Linked DNA regions of Canis lupus familiaris. The protein of the gene in region 1 interacts with the protein of each later gene in a pairwise test. Links are inferred from orthologs where the notes say so. Each region holds a gene or a part of one and is shown in the gene's direction. Other genes may lie near its edges.

The links.
Region 2: the proteins of PPFIA1 (region 1) and PTPRD interact in a two-hybrid assay, tested with the Homo sapiens proteins (2 studies listed by BioGRID). The link is inferred for Canis lupus familiaris from reciprocal best matches to the Homo sapiens genes PPFIA1 and PTPRD.
Region 3: the proteins of PPFIA1 (region 1) and PTPRS interact in a two-hybrid assay, tested with the Homo sapiens proteins (2 studies listed by BioGRID). The link is inferred for Canis lupus familiaris from reciprocal best matches to the Homo sapiens genes PPFIA1 and PTPRS.

What each region holds. Positions count from the first base shown.
Region 1 is NC_049239.1:48,513,205-48,518,305, reverse strand, and holds the start of PPFIA1 (liprin-alpha-1), read left to right. Parts: upstream 1-2,128; 5' UTR 2,129-2,222; intron 2,223-3,490; coding exon 3,491-3,754; intron 3,755-5,101. UniProt on the Homo sapiens protein: May regulate the disassembly of focal adhesions. May localize receptor-like tyrosine phosphatases type 2A at specific sites on the plasma membrane, possibly regulating their interaction with the extracellular environment and their association with substrates.
Region 2 is NC_049232.1:31,345,923-31,350,937, reverse strand, and holds the start of PTPRD (receptor-type tyrosine-protein phosphatase delta), read left to right. Parts: upstream 1-1,959; 5' UTR 1,960-2,289; intron 2,290-5,015.
Region 3 is NC_049241.1:54,969,615-54,974,476, forward strand, and holds the start of PTPRS (receptor-type tyrosine-protein phosphatase S), read left to right. Parts: upstream 1-1,806; 5' UTR 1,807-1,945; intron 1,946-4,862. UniProt on the Homo sapiens protein: Cell surface receptor that binds to glycosaminoglycans, including chondroitin sulfate proteoglycans and heparan sulfate proteoglycan.

The sequences.
Region 1 (5,101 bases):
TAGAAAACACCTATGAAGGTCAAGTGAGTTTACATGGAGGAAGAGGTCTCCACAAATGTTCTGCAAATGTGATTTTCCCATCTGTGCTCTCAGAGATGGACACTCATCAACCCACCTCCCAGTTGCCTCACCCATGGATCAAAATTCCAGTGTTGCCTCACAATGAGAATTAGAACTGCCATGGCAACTAAAACAGTTGGTTGGTGAGCTCCCCAGCTTACTGACCACTTGGATCTCCATTTCCTTCCCGGATCGTAGGTAGGATACAGGAACAGCCAAGTGGTACGAATTTCTTTGAATAGGAAATTGGAAATGTAAGTACTCTTTCAAAGGTTCTCGTTCTTTCCCTCTCTCCTTCTTTACTGATTGCTTACCTTCTCGGGGACACACAGGAAACTTCAACAGGGTTGACGCTAGTGGCTGAAGTCACCCAGTCCAGGGCCCCCACCTCTTTCCTCAGGGGACCGACCGGACTACTTGGGCAGCCCTGGAGCCTCACTGATAGAAATCTTACTCTTTGGTTGTCCCTTAAAGAGACAACTTCTTGGTCACAACAGCATAGCGACTGGGTCAGGGATCAAAAGCTCCCATTCATTCGTGGCTCCAGTTCCAACGCTAAACTAACTGGGTGCCTGTGGGCAAGTCCTTTTGGGGATTCGAAAGGAAATGAGGCCTTAGTTTCTCCTTTTGAACAGAGGAGGAAGAGGGCCACATCTTCTGCCACCCACCCCCAGCTCAGGCCTTCCCCGAACTGTAGGGTCACACTATTCATTAGGTTGTTTTCCATAGTCTTGATAGACCTGGGACACATCCAGATCTCTAGGACTGGTCACACTCCGATCTTAGAGGAACACTCCTCCCGAGCTCTAGAAAGCCATCTCTAGAAACTAGGAGAGGTGGCCTGGGCCATGCTTATGGTTGACAACCAACCACATCATGAGAGAGCTGAGGCTGGTGGGCACATTTGTAAAAACACGACCCTGGCCATAGTACTGGTCTATCTATCCCCTCCCCTCCCACATTCCTGGGTTTTCTTTATCAAGCCTTCGACGGGAGAGTTGGAGCAAAACCATTTTAGGGAAAATGGCTCGTTTTCTTGACTAAGCCTTACAAGGGTGCCACTCCATCTCTAAAACAGGTTTTGGATAAATACTTTGGGGAAATAGTTTAGTTGGGTGGTATAGGTACACAGAAAAGGCATTTTAGCTTCCCAAAAGCTATTTTCCATGATTTATGTTTGCCTAGGTTTTACTAAAGGAACATTTATTGGGGGGGTGGGGGAGGGAGGGGGCTTCCCTAATGATAAAAATAATGTGCATTCATGATGTAGTACCTGGAAAGCACAAAGTAGCCCAAAGAAGGAAATGAATGAGTGAGTATGAATAAGGACGTGAATGGAGCCGCCCCCCGTGGGATCCCACTTGCTCTAGCAGCCCAGGAGTAAGGCCGTGTCGTTTTCACATCATACAGGTGGGGCGCTGAGCGCCGCGGGCTCCGCTGACCTGCCCAGGCCACCGCGCAGGGGCGAGCCTGCACTCCCCACGCCGCGCCCAGGAATCTCCGCATCAAACGGTGCCCACTGGGCATCCGCAGGAATCGCAGGTAAGGGCCCCGCGTAGACGCCGCGACCTTCTGAGTCCTGGAACGGTCGGTCCCGAGGAGGGTCCGACCCCGAGGAGGCAGCCAGCAGGTGTCTCGCGCCGGGGCGCACCCGCCTCGAGGAAGGCGCTGGCTCAGAACCCGACGCACGGTAGACGTTGCCAACGGCCTCTGGGCGGCCGGAGCCGCGGTAGGTGAGCTCCGGCTCGGTGGAGAAGGCCCCTACCTGGGGGGCGGGGCCGGGGGCGGGGCTCCGCCCGCACCTGGCCAATGGGCGCCGGGGGACCCGCCCCGCCCCTCGAGTGGGCGGGGCTTGCGCGCCCGGCCTCCGCGGCGCTCCCCAACCCCCGGGGGGCGGGGCCGGCCGGCGGCGCTCGGCGCTGACGCTGCGCCGACGCGCCCGACGTCGGGCACGTTGACGCCGGCGACGCGCAGCCGGGCCCGCTCCTCCTGCGCTCAGGCAGTGTCCGGCCGCGGGCCGGCCTTGGTGACTGGGGGCTGCGGGCCCGGGGCCGGCGGGCGCGGGCGCGGGCCGCTTTCGTCGGGCCCCGAGCTCGCCCGGAGCGAGCAGCCGCCCGCACGGCGCCGCGGAGCCTCCTCGCCCGCTCCCGCCGGCGAGCAAGGTAAGGAGCGGGAGACTGAGGCAGGCTGGGGCGGAGCGGGGCGGAGCGGGGCCGCGGGCGCCCGGGCGCCGGCCCCTCCCCGCGGCGGCCCCCTCCCCGCGGCGGCGCTCGCTGTCAGCCCCCGGGCGCGGAGGCGGTGGGCCCCGGCGGGGCGCCCCGAGGCCGGGCTCCTGGGGCCGCGGCGCCCCGGGGGCCCCGGGTCAGCCCCGGGTCAGCCCCGGGTCAGCCCCGGGTCAGCCCCGCGCCGGGCTCGGGGGCCGAGGACCTGTGGCCGGGGAAGCCGCGGCCCGGGCTGCGCTCCAGCTGTCAGCGGTGCCCCGCGGTCCGGGGTCCGGGGTCCGGGGCCCGGGGCCCTGCAGCGCGGCGCTGGGCGAGGGGCGAGGAGGTCGCGGCGGTCGCGGCGGTCGCGGCGTCGCCGCCCCCGGGGCTCCAGCCTCCTCCCGCGGCGCCCGCCTGCTGTGGGCCTCGCTGGCGGCGTCTCCTTCTCCCCTTTCCCTTCTCCTCCGTCCTCCTCCCTGTCCTTTCTTCCGTCTTGCTTCCTCCTCCGCTCCCTCCTAGCCGTCCGCGGCCGCACCGACCTGCTCCATGCCCGGTGTGCAAGTTTCCTTTCTAATACTCTTTTCTTTTTTTCCCTCCGGCCGTAAACTTACGTAAGTTGGGTTGCCTGACCGTCACACCTTTTGCAGCCACTGACAAACACCTTTCCCGGCCCTTAACGAATCCGGTGCCTTTGAGCGCTCACCCAGTCCGGCCCGAAGCCGAGGGAGCCGCCAGTCCTCCTCGGGAGCTGACTGCACACATTCCTCCAAGATGCCTGATGCATTTTGTACTTGTCAGTTTTACTGGCTGTATGCTCCTTCTGTGCTTTTCCCGAAACATGATTGGGTGGCATGTGTTTTGACTTTCTCTCCCCGAACCGGGAAATAAAGGGGAAAAAGTAAGTTGCAGAAGCACACTTGTTTTCAACAACCAGAAAGTACAGCTTTGCAGACAAAACGCCCCAGGGTTGGTTCTGTACTCCAGGGGTAGTCTGTGAGGTCTCTACCCTGCCCTGCACTATCCCACGTATTAATCTGTTCCCACACTCAGGATTCGCCTGTGTATGTTTTTTTCCGCTTACTTATACTCAGAGTGTAACAGTCGGATCTGAGAATAACGAGGCTGTCAACCTTCATTTTATGAGCAGCACGGAGAGCTAATAAAGTTGCAGGTTTGTGGGAGCCTTTATTTTGCACTTAATGACTGGAGTCTGGGTGTTTTATTTCAAGATGATGTGCGAGGTGATGCCGACCATCAGTGAAGCAGAAGGCCTGCCAGGAGGAAGTGGGAGCCGTGGGTCCAGCTCTCCTTCGCAGCCAGATGCAGATTCACATTTCGAACAGTTGATGGTGTCCATGCTGGAGGAGAGGGACCGTCTTCTGGACACGCTGAGAGAGACTCAGGAAACGCTGGCATTAACCCAGGGGAAGTTACATGAGGTCGGGCATGAAAGAGATTCCTTGCAGAGGCAGCTCAATACTGCACTTCCACAGGTATGGATGCCTTTCACCTGGAACTTTACAGATCTTTCTTTCCCCTTCTAAATTATGGTGTCACCTTTCATGGTGTTCATGTTTTACATGAGTCTGTGAAATGGTGGTTCTGGTTTTTTTTTTTAATTATTAAAGATTTAATTTCTTTATTCATGAGAGACAGAGAGAAAGAGAGAGAGAGAGAGAGAGAAGCAGGCTCCATGCAGGGAGCCCGAAGTGGGACTCGATCCCAGGTCTCCAGGATCACACCCTGGGCCGAAGGTGGCACTGAACTGCTGAGCCACCTGGGCTGCTTGTGGTTCTGGTGTCTGTAAGTCATGTGCAGAGAGGGTTCCCGAGGGTTGAACCTCTGAGGGAAGACAAGCTGTGGTGCACTATACTTAAACACCTCGTAACTCTTGTTCCTTTCTTCTGCCTTAATTTGGGACAGTGCTCCGAAGTTTTTGGACAAGGGCCATGAGGCATCCAAGCTGCGTGCTGCCTTCCATTCTGTCGTCTTAGGCCTTTCTTGCTCAACCTGTGTTTCTTATGGATTTTATCGCATTTCCCATTTTCTAATGAAATTTAATGGATAGATAGGATTGATTTCACAGGAAAGATAAAGATATTTTTACAGTCCACTTTTCTAAGAACACCTGTGTTTTATAAATGAAGTTTGTTGTGGAGGATATGAGACAGAGATTAATTCCTTCGGAACTTTCTTCTTGGCCGATGAGAATTGTAAGCTTGAAGTGACGCCGAAGCCATTAATCTTAGTATATGACATTTGGACTAGTTTCAAAGCCTCTCCTTGTGGAGCTGAGTGAGGACGTCATGATAGGTGAGGGTAGAGGGTAGAGGAAAGTGTAAGGCGAGTGGCACAGAGCATGCCGGAGACACAGAGGTTACTTGGGTGTTCACAGCCGCCTAGGTGCCACTTGAGTTACCCGTAATAGGCGCCTTTGTGGTCCTTTCAGGTAGGCCTGCATAAGCACATGCTTGTGCTCCCACCGTCGGTCTGCAGTGCTAAATTAGTAAATGAGTAATTGCCAGCCTGAATGCATTTCTTGGCTGTAGCTGGTTCTCCTGAAAGATTGATAAGCCAGACGTTTGCATTTCCTTTTTAGCAATAATAATCTGCCGTTAGTGCTGTAGTGCTCCTTTTCTGTTGGATCGGGGAGCCATCACGGTTTTTCTCGGGCAAGCGTCACGAATTGTGTACTTTGTGTAGGTCTGGTTTTATTACCACGAGCTCGAAAGCATGGGCCAAATGATGCTCCACCAGGATTTTAGTGTACTTGTAAATTTTTCAGTAGTTTTTGTTTTTTTGATTTGTGATTGTATTTGTTTTAATGTAATTTGAGACAG
Region 2 (5,015 bases), on another chromosome or scaffold:
GACTGAGTTAGTCATCATCTTGCACAGACAACACCATAAGGGGGCAGGTGCTTTGCATAATTACAAAGATAGACATACACATGCACACACACACACACACACACACACACACACTTGCATGCATGGAAGGAATCTTTTTGTTTCCTATCCTATCATTTCCAAGAACAGCTTTAAGTGATAATGATTGTGAACCCTCTTGGATGGCTGAGCTCAGTGGGTTTATGGGGGTGGAGCAGGTAGCCTGGCAGGAGATGGGTTCAGAAGAAGGGTCACTCCTGAAGAGCAAAGGGACATGGCAGGCAATGAAGCAGGCATGAAAAGAAAAGAGGTGAAAGGACCCTGGGGAAAATGTCACATGTATTGATTAAGCTTTATTTCTCTTTGGGAGAAAGTGACATTTATGCTATTAGATCATGGACATATAAGGAAAGTAGATGGCCCACTGCTTTCGGTTTTCTTCCACAGTGCTTAGGGCACCTTTGACTAGAGGGTACCTGGAAGGCTTTCTGTTGCATTATTATAAACAGGACAATTATTTTTTTTAAAGGACCAACGTGGTGACATTGGTCTTTCTTTACTAAGAGAGAGAGAGCATTCGTTGTCACAGCTGTATCCTTTGATCAGACACAAATGACGGTAAAATGTTAGAAGCTTTCTGTGACATTTCTTCCATCCTGCTCTTCCCCAGTGCTAATTCTCTTTTCTAGCTTTGCTCAGGGGGTTTAAGTTACTCTTTCCTTGCTGGCAGAGTCTGTGATACACCACCTCAGAGGCATCGGTCATTCCCCTAAGCAGGTAGTAAAGAAATACACCCCCCACCTCCACCCCCACGCAGTCCCCGTCCTCGCCTCTGAAGCCAGGCTAGTTTCCAGCAACTCTTGTTCGGGGCTTTCCCTTCTCAGCTACTGCCTTGACAGAGCCCTGTCTCTACCTCAAGCCCAGCCACGCTGCCAAGCACCCCAACTGAAAACTACACGCAGGGCACCCTGCACCACGCAGCTCTGCTCCTCTTCCTCCTCCTCATTAAAGTGGACCCTTCGTGAGCAACGAATGTCTTGCAAATTAAAACTCTGCCCCCTGCATTTTTAGCTCCTCTGCCCCCCTGACGCTTGCCGCCAGCTTCCCTCCGAAAAAGAAACCCACCCAAACCCCAAAATGAAATAACCCAAAGCACGCAAACACCTGAAGAGGCGCAACCGGGATCTACACCTGGACAAGTCCTCTGTGGCTCTAGTGGTCGGGATAGAGCATCCTCTCCCCGCGCGGACCGCTTTATCCCGCCCGGGGCCCGGGGCATGGCACGGCCTCCGGGCCGCGGGGTCGGCGGGGTCGCGCCCGGGCAGCTCGGGTCGCCGCGCAGGCCGCCCTCCTCCGGCCCCGGCCCGCCGCCGCCGCCGCCTCCACCCGGGCCGGCGCTCGCAGCACCCGGCGCCGCGTCCTCCCCGCCCGACCCCCGCCCTCCCGCGCCGGCCCGCGCCGCTGGCAGCCATCAAGTGGCTCGTTAGGGAAATGCAGGTGAGTGCGTGCGGCCGAGACGTGGGGTGTGTGCCTGTGTGTGCGAGCGCGAGCCAGCCAGCCAGCGCGGGAGCCGCCGGGAGGTGCCGGCCGCCTCCGCTCCCCGCCCCTCGCCGCCCGCTCCGGCACCTGCACCTGCGCCCGCGCCCGCACCTGCGCCCGCGCCCGCGCCCGCGCCCGCGGCGGCCGCCCGAGCGCCCCGGGCCGCGCCTCGCCCAGCGCCTCGCCCGGACGGCCGCTCGCCGGCCCTCCCCGCGGTCGCGGTCGCGGTCGCGGTCGCGGTCTCGGTCTCGGTCTCGGTCGCGGGCTCCGTCGCGGTCTCGGTCTCGGTCTCGGCCGCAGCTCGGCCGGCCTCCCGGCGCCCCCCCCCCCCCCCGCCCGGCGGTCCCCTCCCCGCCCGCGCCCTCCCGCGGCTCCTCCTCCTCCTGTCCGCCTCCTCCCCTCGCGCGCCGCCGACAGGCAGCCTCGGCGGGCAGAGTGCGGGTACTTTGCCTTCTGAAGAATTTGCAGGACCCAAGCACGCTTTCGGAGCGCCCCGATTTTCTTCGGTCGGTGTCCCCTCCCTCCGGAAACGAAGATCCCACTTGTGCAACAAACAGCACCCGAAGCATCCTGCCCAAGCCAAAGCCCGACGGGCTGCTGAGCATGTGCTGCCCTTTCTTGCAGTTTATTCTGGGCCTGTGTGGAATAGAGAGACAATTCTTTATTTGACTGGTAGGAAAGAGAAGAGAAGACTCCTCAGGGTTTCCAAGGAGGACTGGAGCGGCTGCTTTAGTAAGTAAACTGTGTTTTTTTTTTTTTTTTTTTTGATATTTCTTTACTCTCAAGTGAGGGAAGAGCATATGCCGAATGCTCTCCCTTCAGATGGTATGGACAGTTCGTTTCACCGGGGAAGAAGTTGACTTACATGACTTAAGTAGTTCTTAATTGAGAAGTGGTTTGTTAAGCTGCTTGCTTGCTTATTTATTTATTTATTTATTTATTATTATTATTATTATTTATTTTTTTTTTGGAAATGCATTGAGAAGACTTCATTGTGGGAAACCTTATTGGGGAATCTGATTTTTAAACCTTTATTGTTCAAGGGCTGTTGGAAGCCTGGCTTGTGAAACGTTGGTTGGTTCCAAGATATAAGGCTGGTTACCTAGAAAAAGCTTGAGAATTCGAACCTGCTGGTTCACTTTTCCTGCTACTGTCCACCTCCACCCTCAGCCACACCAACTCCCATCCTTCTCTGACTTCACTTGGTTGCTTATCTTTAGTCCTGAAGACAGCTGGCCAAAAAATTGGGTCAAGGGAAACTTGATAAAGACGGTCTGAAAGACCAGGAGAAAATCCTGTTGAGGTTTCTAGGTAGATGAGATGTGGAAGAAAATCCTCCAACTAGGCTAGTTTGGATAATTTGGATGAAATTCATTCAGAGAGGGAATGTGAAAAATGCTTTGGAGAGGGCAGGAGCTGAGGCTGTGACTTTGACACAGCAGGTTATAGACTGTGACAGGGGCTCAGCAGCCAGTGACAGGCTTAAGGTGTCTCCTAGGGCCGAATATCTCTGCATCAAAAACTTTTGCAGGCAGTATTCCTCTTGGGGCTAACATCACCATGTCGGTAGCTGCAGCATTTCTGTAAGAACAAGTAGGACACTCTTCCTCTTTCTGTGAAAGGGTTAATGATATATTTAAAAAGAATAAGAGGTATACAGTCTAACACTTGCCAATATTTTGTAATATCTAAATAAAACCTTTGTGTTATGTCAGTAAAAATATAGTTGAGTCAGTTTGTTTTGCACAGGAGGGAGAGAATCAATAACATTTCAGCATTTTTTTCTTTATTACTGCCAAATGGACTCGGAATCTAATTCTTCTTGCATTGTTACATATATAGTAGATACAGTAGAATTCCAGTTTAGATACAACAGAGCTGATTTTTTTTTTTAACAAAGTTCTCTGACATAATAGCATGCAGGCTGACTACTGTAGAATAGTAATTTAAAAAGTTTACCTTTAACTTTCAATTTCTATCTCAATGTAAAGCACACTTTTGCAAGCAAATGTCTTTAAGAGTTATGAACCAGATTGAAAATTAAAGCTCCTTACTTACAGATAATATTGTTTTTCCACAGAACACCTTACTATCAAATAATACCCAAGGGCTCTCATATTTAATTGCTGATAATGGTAAAGTGAAAAAAATATTATCTTTGTATTTACTCAAATATATAAAAGTGGCACTATTCATTTGGCATTGATTTTTAAAATTTTACAAGTAAACTCATGTACAATGGTTTTAAAAAAAAAGAAAGATGTTTTAGAGTTGTATGGTTCTTCAATGTCAAAAGCTTTGAATATCTTGGGACATAAGTTTTGAGGGTAATGAAATAACAGTAGGGCAATTGAATTTGTTGATATGAAGTTGTAATATATGGAAATCATTTGGTAAAGATATGTCACTGTTTATTGTATATTACTTTATTTTCTATCCAAATGGATTTTCTTAGAGGTATTGCTATTCTCAGTTTCCATTTCTGCGTTGTTTTAAAATGAATTTAGGTAATTTAAAATTAAACCCTTGGTTGATCAGATTTGATCCCTCTTCACTTGTGACCTCAAACACCTGAAAGGTATCTGATGTTTGAAAAAGCAGTTATTGAAAAATAAAAGGTAAGAGTGTACTGAAGTAGCCAATTTTAAGAGTGGATCAAACATGTTATTACATATATTACAATAGGACACATTAGAAAAGTAGAAAAGAAGAAAAGACATGACAGTAGAAAAGACATGACAAAATTGTTGACTATATTCAAATTGCTGAAAGCAAAGATTTACAATTAACATGAAAATTAATGTGAAACACATTCTGCCTGTGTTCTAATTATGTTAGAGTGCCAAGGAAGATAGCCTGAATTAAAACCATTTCTAGTCAAGCTTGAACATGTTATATTTGATCACTTTCAAAGAAGTCAAAACTGGGTGGGATGATTAAATTGTCTTTTTGTTTGTTTTCTTGTTTTTGCCTTTTTTTTTTTCTTGCCACCAGTTTTCTATGCAATACAGAGGTGGTTGCAACTTTAAAGTTGAAAAAAGAAAGTTGCTAGTGTCAGCAGTAATGTGTTTTATTATGCAGTTGTTCTTGTTATTCAGATCAGATAATGGCCCTATGAAATACATAAGCAGTCTGCAGGGAATGAATGATTAATTCCTCTAACGTGTGCTTACTAAAGGAGTTCTTATTAATAAAGTGCCGTATACCTGCATTTGCTTGCCATTGCAGTTGGTGAAGGCAAATGTACTTTTCTTTTCCTTTAATACTAATATGGAATTTACAGGTCTAGTCCTGTAACTGTAGTAGCTTAAAGATGACTTCATCGAACACATGATCTTATGTTTTATAGAACCCTTTGGATATGATTGCTATTTACTTAAAACAATTTATTTGGAAAGTAAAATGTTGTTAATTAAATGTGAACTTAAAGACTGAACATTAAAAATTGTGTTTTTCAC
Region 3 (4,862 bases), on another chromosome or scaffold:
AGGGAGGATGTGGGTTTTCACCCTCAGATACTATCTATCTCCTTCCCTGGATCGTTAACGCCTGGAAGGCAGGAATTTTCTTTTTTTTTTTTTTTAAGCCTGTTTTGTTTACCTCTGTGTCTTCAACCTTTAAAACAGCACCGCACACAGAGTGACGGCCTGGGCGGACCCGTTTCCTGGGCATATGCTGTACTGGATCTTATGCCCTTTCCTCTGCTGCTCGGGAGAACTCTCAGATGTGGTTGCCCCTTTAGCAGATGGGAACCGCGAGTCTGCGTGGCTTGTTCCAGATCCCTCCCCTAATAGGTGGCGAGGCTGGGGCTCCTGCCACATGCAGCCTTCCAGAGCCGGCAGTCTCCCTTCACACCGCCCTCACCGGGCTGCCAGAGAACCTACTGTGTACGAGAAACCATCATCAAGAAGGGGCTGGGTCTCCCTTGCCTGGATGAGAAAACCAAGGCCAGGCTGCCGCCGCTTAGGTCAGGGTCACGCAGCTAGGAAGGAGAACCAAATAGGCTCTGCAAACCTGGCCGCTGCACTGGCCGCCGGGAAACTCCGAGCTTAATTTAGGTTCCTTGTTTAATTATTCATTCTCTCCTCTCTCTTCTCCTATTTATGACTTCCGCCTTCTCATTTTGTTCTCGGGGTTAATGCCTTTTGTTTATATCTGCATCTTTGGCCTGGAATGAATGAATCAACGATTTTGGAGGAAAAACCCAAACTCTAAACTTGTGTCCTTTTGTAGGCGCAAGGCCCTGTCCAGATACATCCCTTGGAGAAATAAACCGCTTTCAGCGTGTGCAGAACTCACCCAGAAGCGTGCAATCTTGTTTGGTGTCTTTGGGCCCTCCAACCTCCCATGGCAATCCTTCCCCTTTGTTTCTTTCTTTTTTTTCCTCATTCCATTTTCAAGCCGCTAAGAAGACAGGCAGGGCAGCACACCATCACCAGTCCACCCTCCCACTCTCTACCTTGCCCCACTTCACAGACAGGACACCGACCCGCAAAGGGACAAGCCCGTTTTGCAGGTGGGAAAACTGAGGCTCACGGACCCACACAGCGACTCAGTGCCCGAGCTGGGATTCCTGTGACGATTCATGCCGACTCCAGCCAGGGAAGCAGGGAACGGTAATGAGGAGGGAGGAAATAAATGCTCCCTCGTCCATTCGACCCATAAAAGGGATCCCCAGGCCCTTTGGAGTCACACCTTCTTGTGACCAGAATGAAAGCAGCCCTGATGGATCAGAGAATGGGGCGCCGGGAGGCTGGTGGCGGCGACCCAGGAGGGCTTTTCCCGGGAGCTGCCATCGGAGCAGCGGCCGCAAGAAGGGGAGGCCCTCGGGGGAGCGCTATTCCGGGCGAGGGGGCTGAGCCGGGAGGGAGCCGGCGGGGCTGCAGCACGGGCACACGTGGGCGTACTCGAGGGAGACTCGGGGGGCCACAGCGCGCGCCCCGCAAGCACCACGCCCCGGGGGCCGAGCGTCGCGGGGGTCGGACGCCGAGCAGCTGCCGGACGAGTCCTCGCGCCGCCGCCGCCCACGCGCCCCGCGCTCCTCGGCGCCCCGCGCCCCACGTGCTCTCGCGGCCCTTTAAACGCCCCGGGGCCACGTGACCCACCCGCGCCCTCTCATTGGCCGGGGGGGCGTGGCCGCCGCGCGGCTGCGCAGTGACGCGCGCGGCCCGGCCCCGCCCCGACCCCGCCCCCGGCCGGCGGCGGCGGCGGCGGCGCTGGCGGAAGGGATGACGTCACCGGCTGGGGGGGGCGCGCGAACCGGCGCGAGGGGAGCGCGAGCCGCAGTGAGTGTCCTCGCGCCGCCCGCCCGGCAGCCCGGCCGGCGCGCGCACGCCGCGAGCCGCTGGCGCCCGGGCTCCGCTCGAATCCCATGCAACAGCCAGGATGTGAAGCGGGGCAGAGCCGGGGGAGCCCAGCCCAGCCAGCCTCCAGGTAAACGGGCGGGGGGGGAATAAAACGCGAATTGGATTGAAAAAAAAAAAAACCTGCAGGCGCTCCGGTGGGGGTCTCGGAGGCAGCGGAGTGGGCAGCGCGCCGGCTTTGTGCCGGGAGAGCCTGCACGGCCATTGTGCTCGGAGGATGCTCCGCTGCAGCCGGCTGCACGCCCAGCCCTGCGCCTGGCTAGCGGCGTGCGAACAATGCCCCGGAGGGGCCGGGCCGGGCGGGCGGGGGCCGCGGGGAGGCTCGGCGGGCGGGGCGGGGGGCTTCGCCGCGGCGGGGAGGGGGCTGGGCTGGAATGGCCCGGAGCGCGGCTGGAAGCTGCCCAGCGCCGCCGGCTGCACCACCCGGGCCGCGGGCGGGGCGGAGGCGCGGAGGGGCACGCGCGTGTGTGCGGAGGGGCTGCTGGCCCCGGCGGCTCCGGCCCCGGTTTCCCGGGCGGGTCCGGGAGGCAGGGGGCGCTGTGCCGGGGGAGGGGGCTCGCGGGCGCCCCGGAGCGGAGGCCGGCCCGGGACCGGTGCTCCAGGTGGGCGCGAGGGCGGAGCGGCCGGGGCGCCCGGGGGGCTGCTCTGCCCGCGCCCGGCTCCGCAGGCCCCCGCCCCTGGAGACCTCGGACTCAACGCCGCCTCACCTTAGCGCCCTCCTGGCCGCGTAGGTCCCCGGGGGAGGCCGCCCCCCAGCGCCCCGGCCTTGCCCCACCCTTCTGCGGCCCCGGCGCCCCTCCCCGTCCCCCAGGCGGGGCGAGGCTCAGCCCCCAGCCCCAGGGACGCGGACGGACCGACGGACGGACGGGTGCGCGCACCCGGCACCGACCTCCCCTGGGGATCCCGGGAGAGGGGAAGCCGCCCCTGGAGCCGGCAGCCCGGGGGGTTTTGCGCGCCCCGGGAGCCCCCTTAGGGGCGGGGGGAGGGGAGGTGACGTCATCCGGGGGGCGGAGTCGCCGGAACCCGGTGAAGGGGGCGCTGGGGGGGGTGTGCCCTGAGGACAGCCCCCGGAGTCGGGGCGCAAGGCTTTCGGCCAAGTTCACTGCTCCTTATGGAAATCTCTCCCAGATTTACGATCTCACTTAGCACCCCCCAAGTTCTGGTCACTTCCCTCCACCCTAAATCGGAGAACTCCCCTGCAGCCTCTTTTCTCCAGAATTCTCAAATCAGGGAACCCTTGCGCAAACTGGGATTTTTTTTTTTTTTCCCAGACACAGCCTGTGTCGTTTCCCTCCCCCCCCCCCCCCCCCCCCCCCGCGTCTGGAACCTCCAGCTTAGCGACCCTTCCCCCAATTTCAGATTCTCCTCTGGTCGCCCTGTAAATGGGCAGCTTTTGAGAATACCCCTTTCTCAAATGTAGTCACCCCCTAGGGACCTCGTCTCCCACATTAAGAAACCTCCCCAGCGCCTCCCAACTGGGGGACACCTCCCCTCCCCTTGCTAGGCTCAACTGGGATTCCCCCTGTATCCCCCATCTCACTCTGGGGGAGTCCCCATTCTGGAGCCCAGGGCCCTTCTATCACCGGCAGAACCCCTGGAAAAAAAAAAGACCGGCCTGGCCAGCACAGCTAGTGGAGGGGGGTGTCTGAGGTGTCCAGGTTGTGCGTCCGTTCTCACTCCAAGAAGCCCGGACGAAGCTGGAGGGTCCCCGAGAGTCCCAAGCACGGGGACCCACCTGCTGTGGGCCCCCAGCGGCCTCCACCCAGAGTTTGGCTGCTGGGGTTCTAGCTTTCCCGGCGTGGCCCCCATCACTACTGTTCCTGGGGTGCAGAGGGCAAGGTCTCCTTTTGTTTGGGGCGCCCTGCTTCCGCCTCATCGCCGCCTCCCGCCTGCGAGGAGAGCCAGTCCGCGCCTCTACTCCTGCGCTACCAGCTGCTGCTGCTGCTGGAGCTTTTATTAATGGCCGAGGGATTCGGTCGATTGTGCTATTTGCATAACTCCCCTCCCCCTCCCAGGGTCCCTTCCTTTGTGCCCCCCTCCTCCTGCCAATCTCGCCCGCCTTCTGTCCCTCCGCTCTCTTCTTCCTCTGCCAGCTGATACTTTGGCTGCGGAAGGCGGGCAGCTGGGGCTGGGGGCGGCTGCTTCCCGCCCCCACCGCCCGGAGCCCACCAACTTGGACTTGGGTCTGGGCCGCAGCCCCCTGCCCCCTACGATGCCCTCCGCCCAGCCTCCGGGCTGGCTGCCGCCGGCGTGCATCTCCATCATTCTTCTCCAGAAAGCTCCGTCCTGCCCCATCCCCTGAGCCCAGGGGCACCTCGCCATGACGGTGCAGTTCTTGGGGGCCCGGCCCCCCACGGCCCCAGGGGGATGCCACGCGCCATACTCTATCGCCCTGAGACTTGGTATAATTGGGCTCAGGCAAACAAAACGTCGCGGGAGACCCGGCCTGCCTGGTGAGCTCATGTGCTTTTCTATTCCTGCCATCCTGGCCCCGATGACATCGGCCCCCCAGGGGGGTGGCGGGGGCTGGTGCTGTTATGCCAGTGGCTGTCCTAGGGCAGAGGCAGTGGCCTGACCCACTCCCCACCGCCTGCAGGAGACGGGATGGGGCATCCTGCTGTGGCTGGGTATGGCCTTGGAGGACGCTGCCCAGGTGGTCGCTGGGCTTCCCCGGGGATCCGCCCTTCCCCCGGGTCCCTTGCAGGGCCCTGAGCTGGCCGTGTGGGGGGTGCGGGGAGAGGGGTCCCGAGAGCCAGGCACCTGCCTGCTGCCCTCCCAGGACATCACCCATGGCCCGTCCCTCTGCTTCTGTCCCCTCCGGCAGAGATTCCGAGCGCCCTTCTTGCTTCCCTGTTTCCCAGGGGATTCCGGGTGTCTTCGCCTGTCCCTGGGCCACACTTGGGAGACCTGAGGCATTTTTCTCCCAACCCTGGGACTGTAGCTCTGGATGCGAGGGTGTGAGGAGTGGGTGCGAGGGGAGGAGCTCC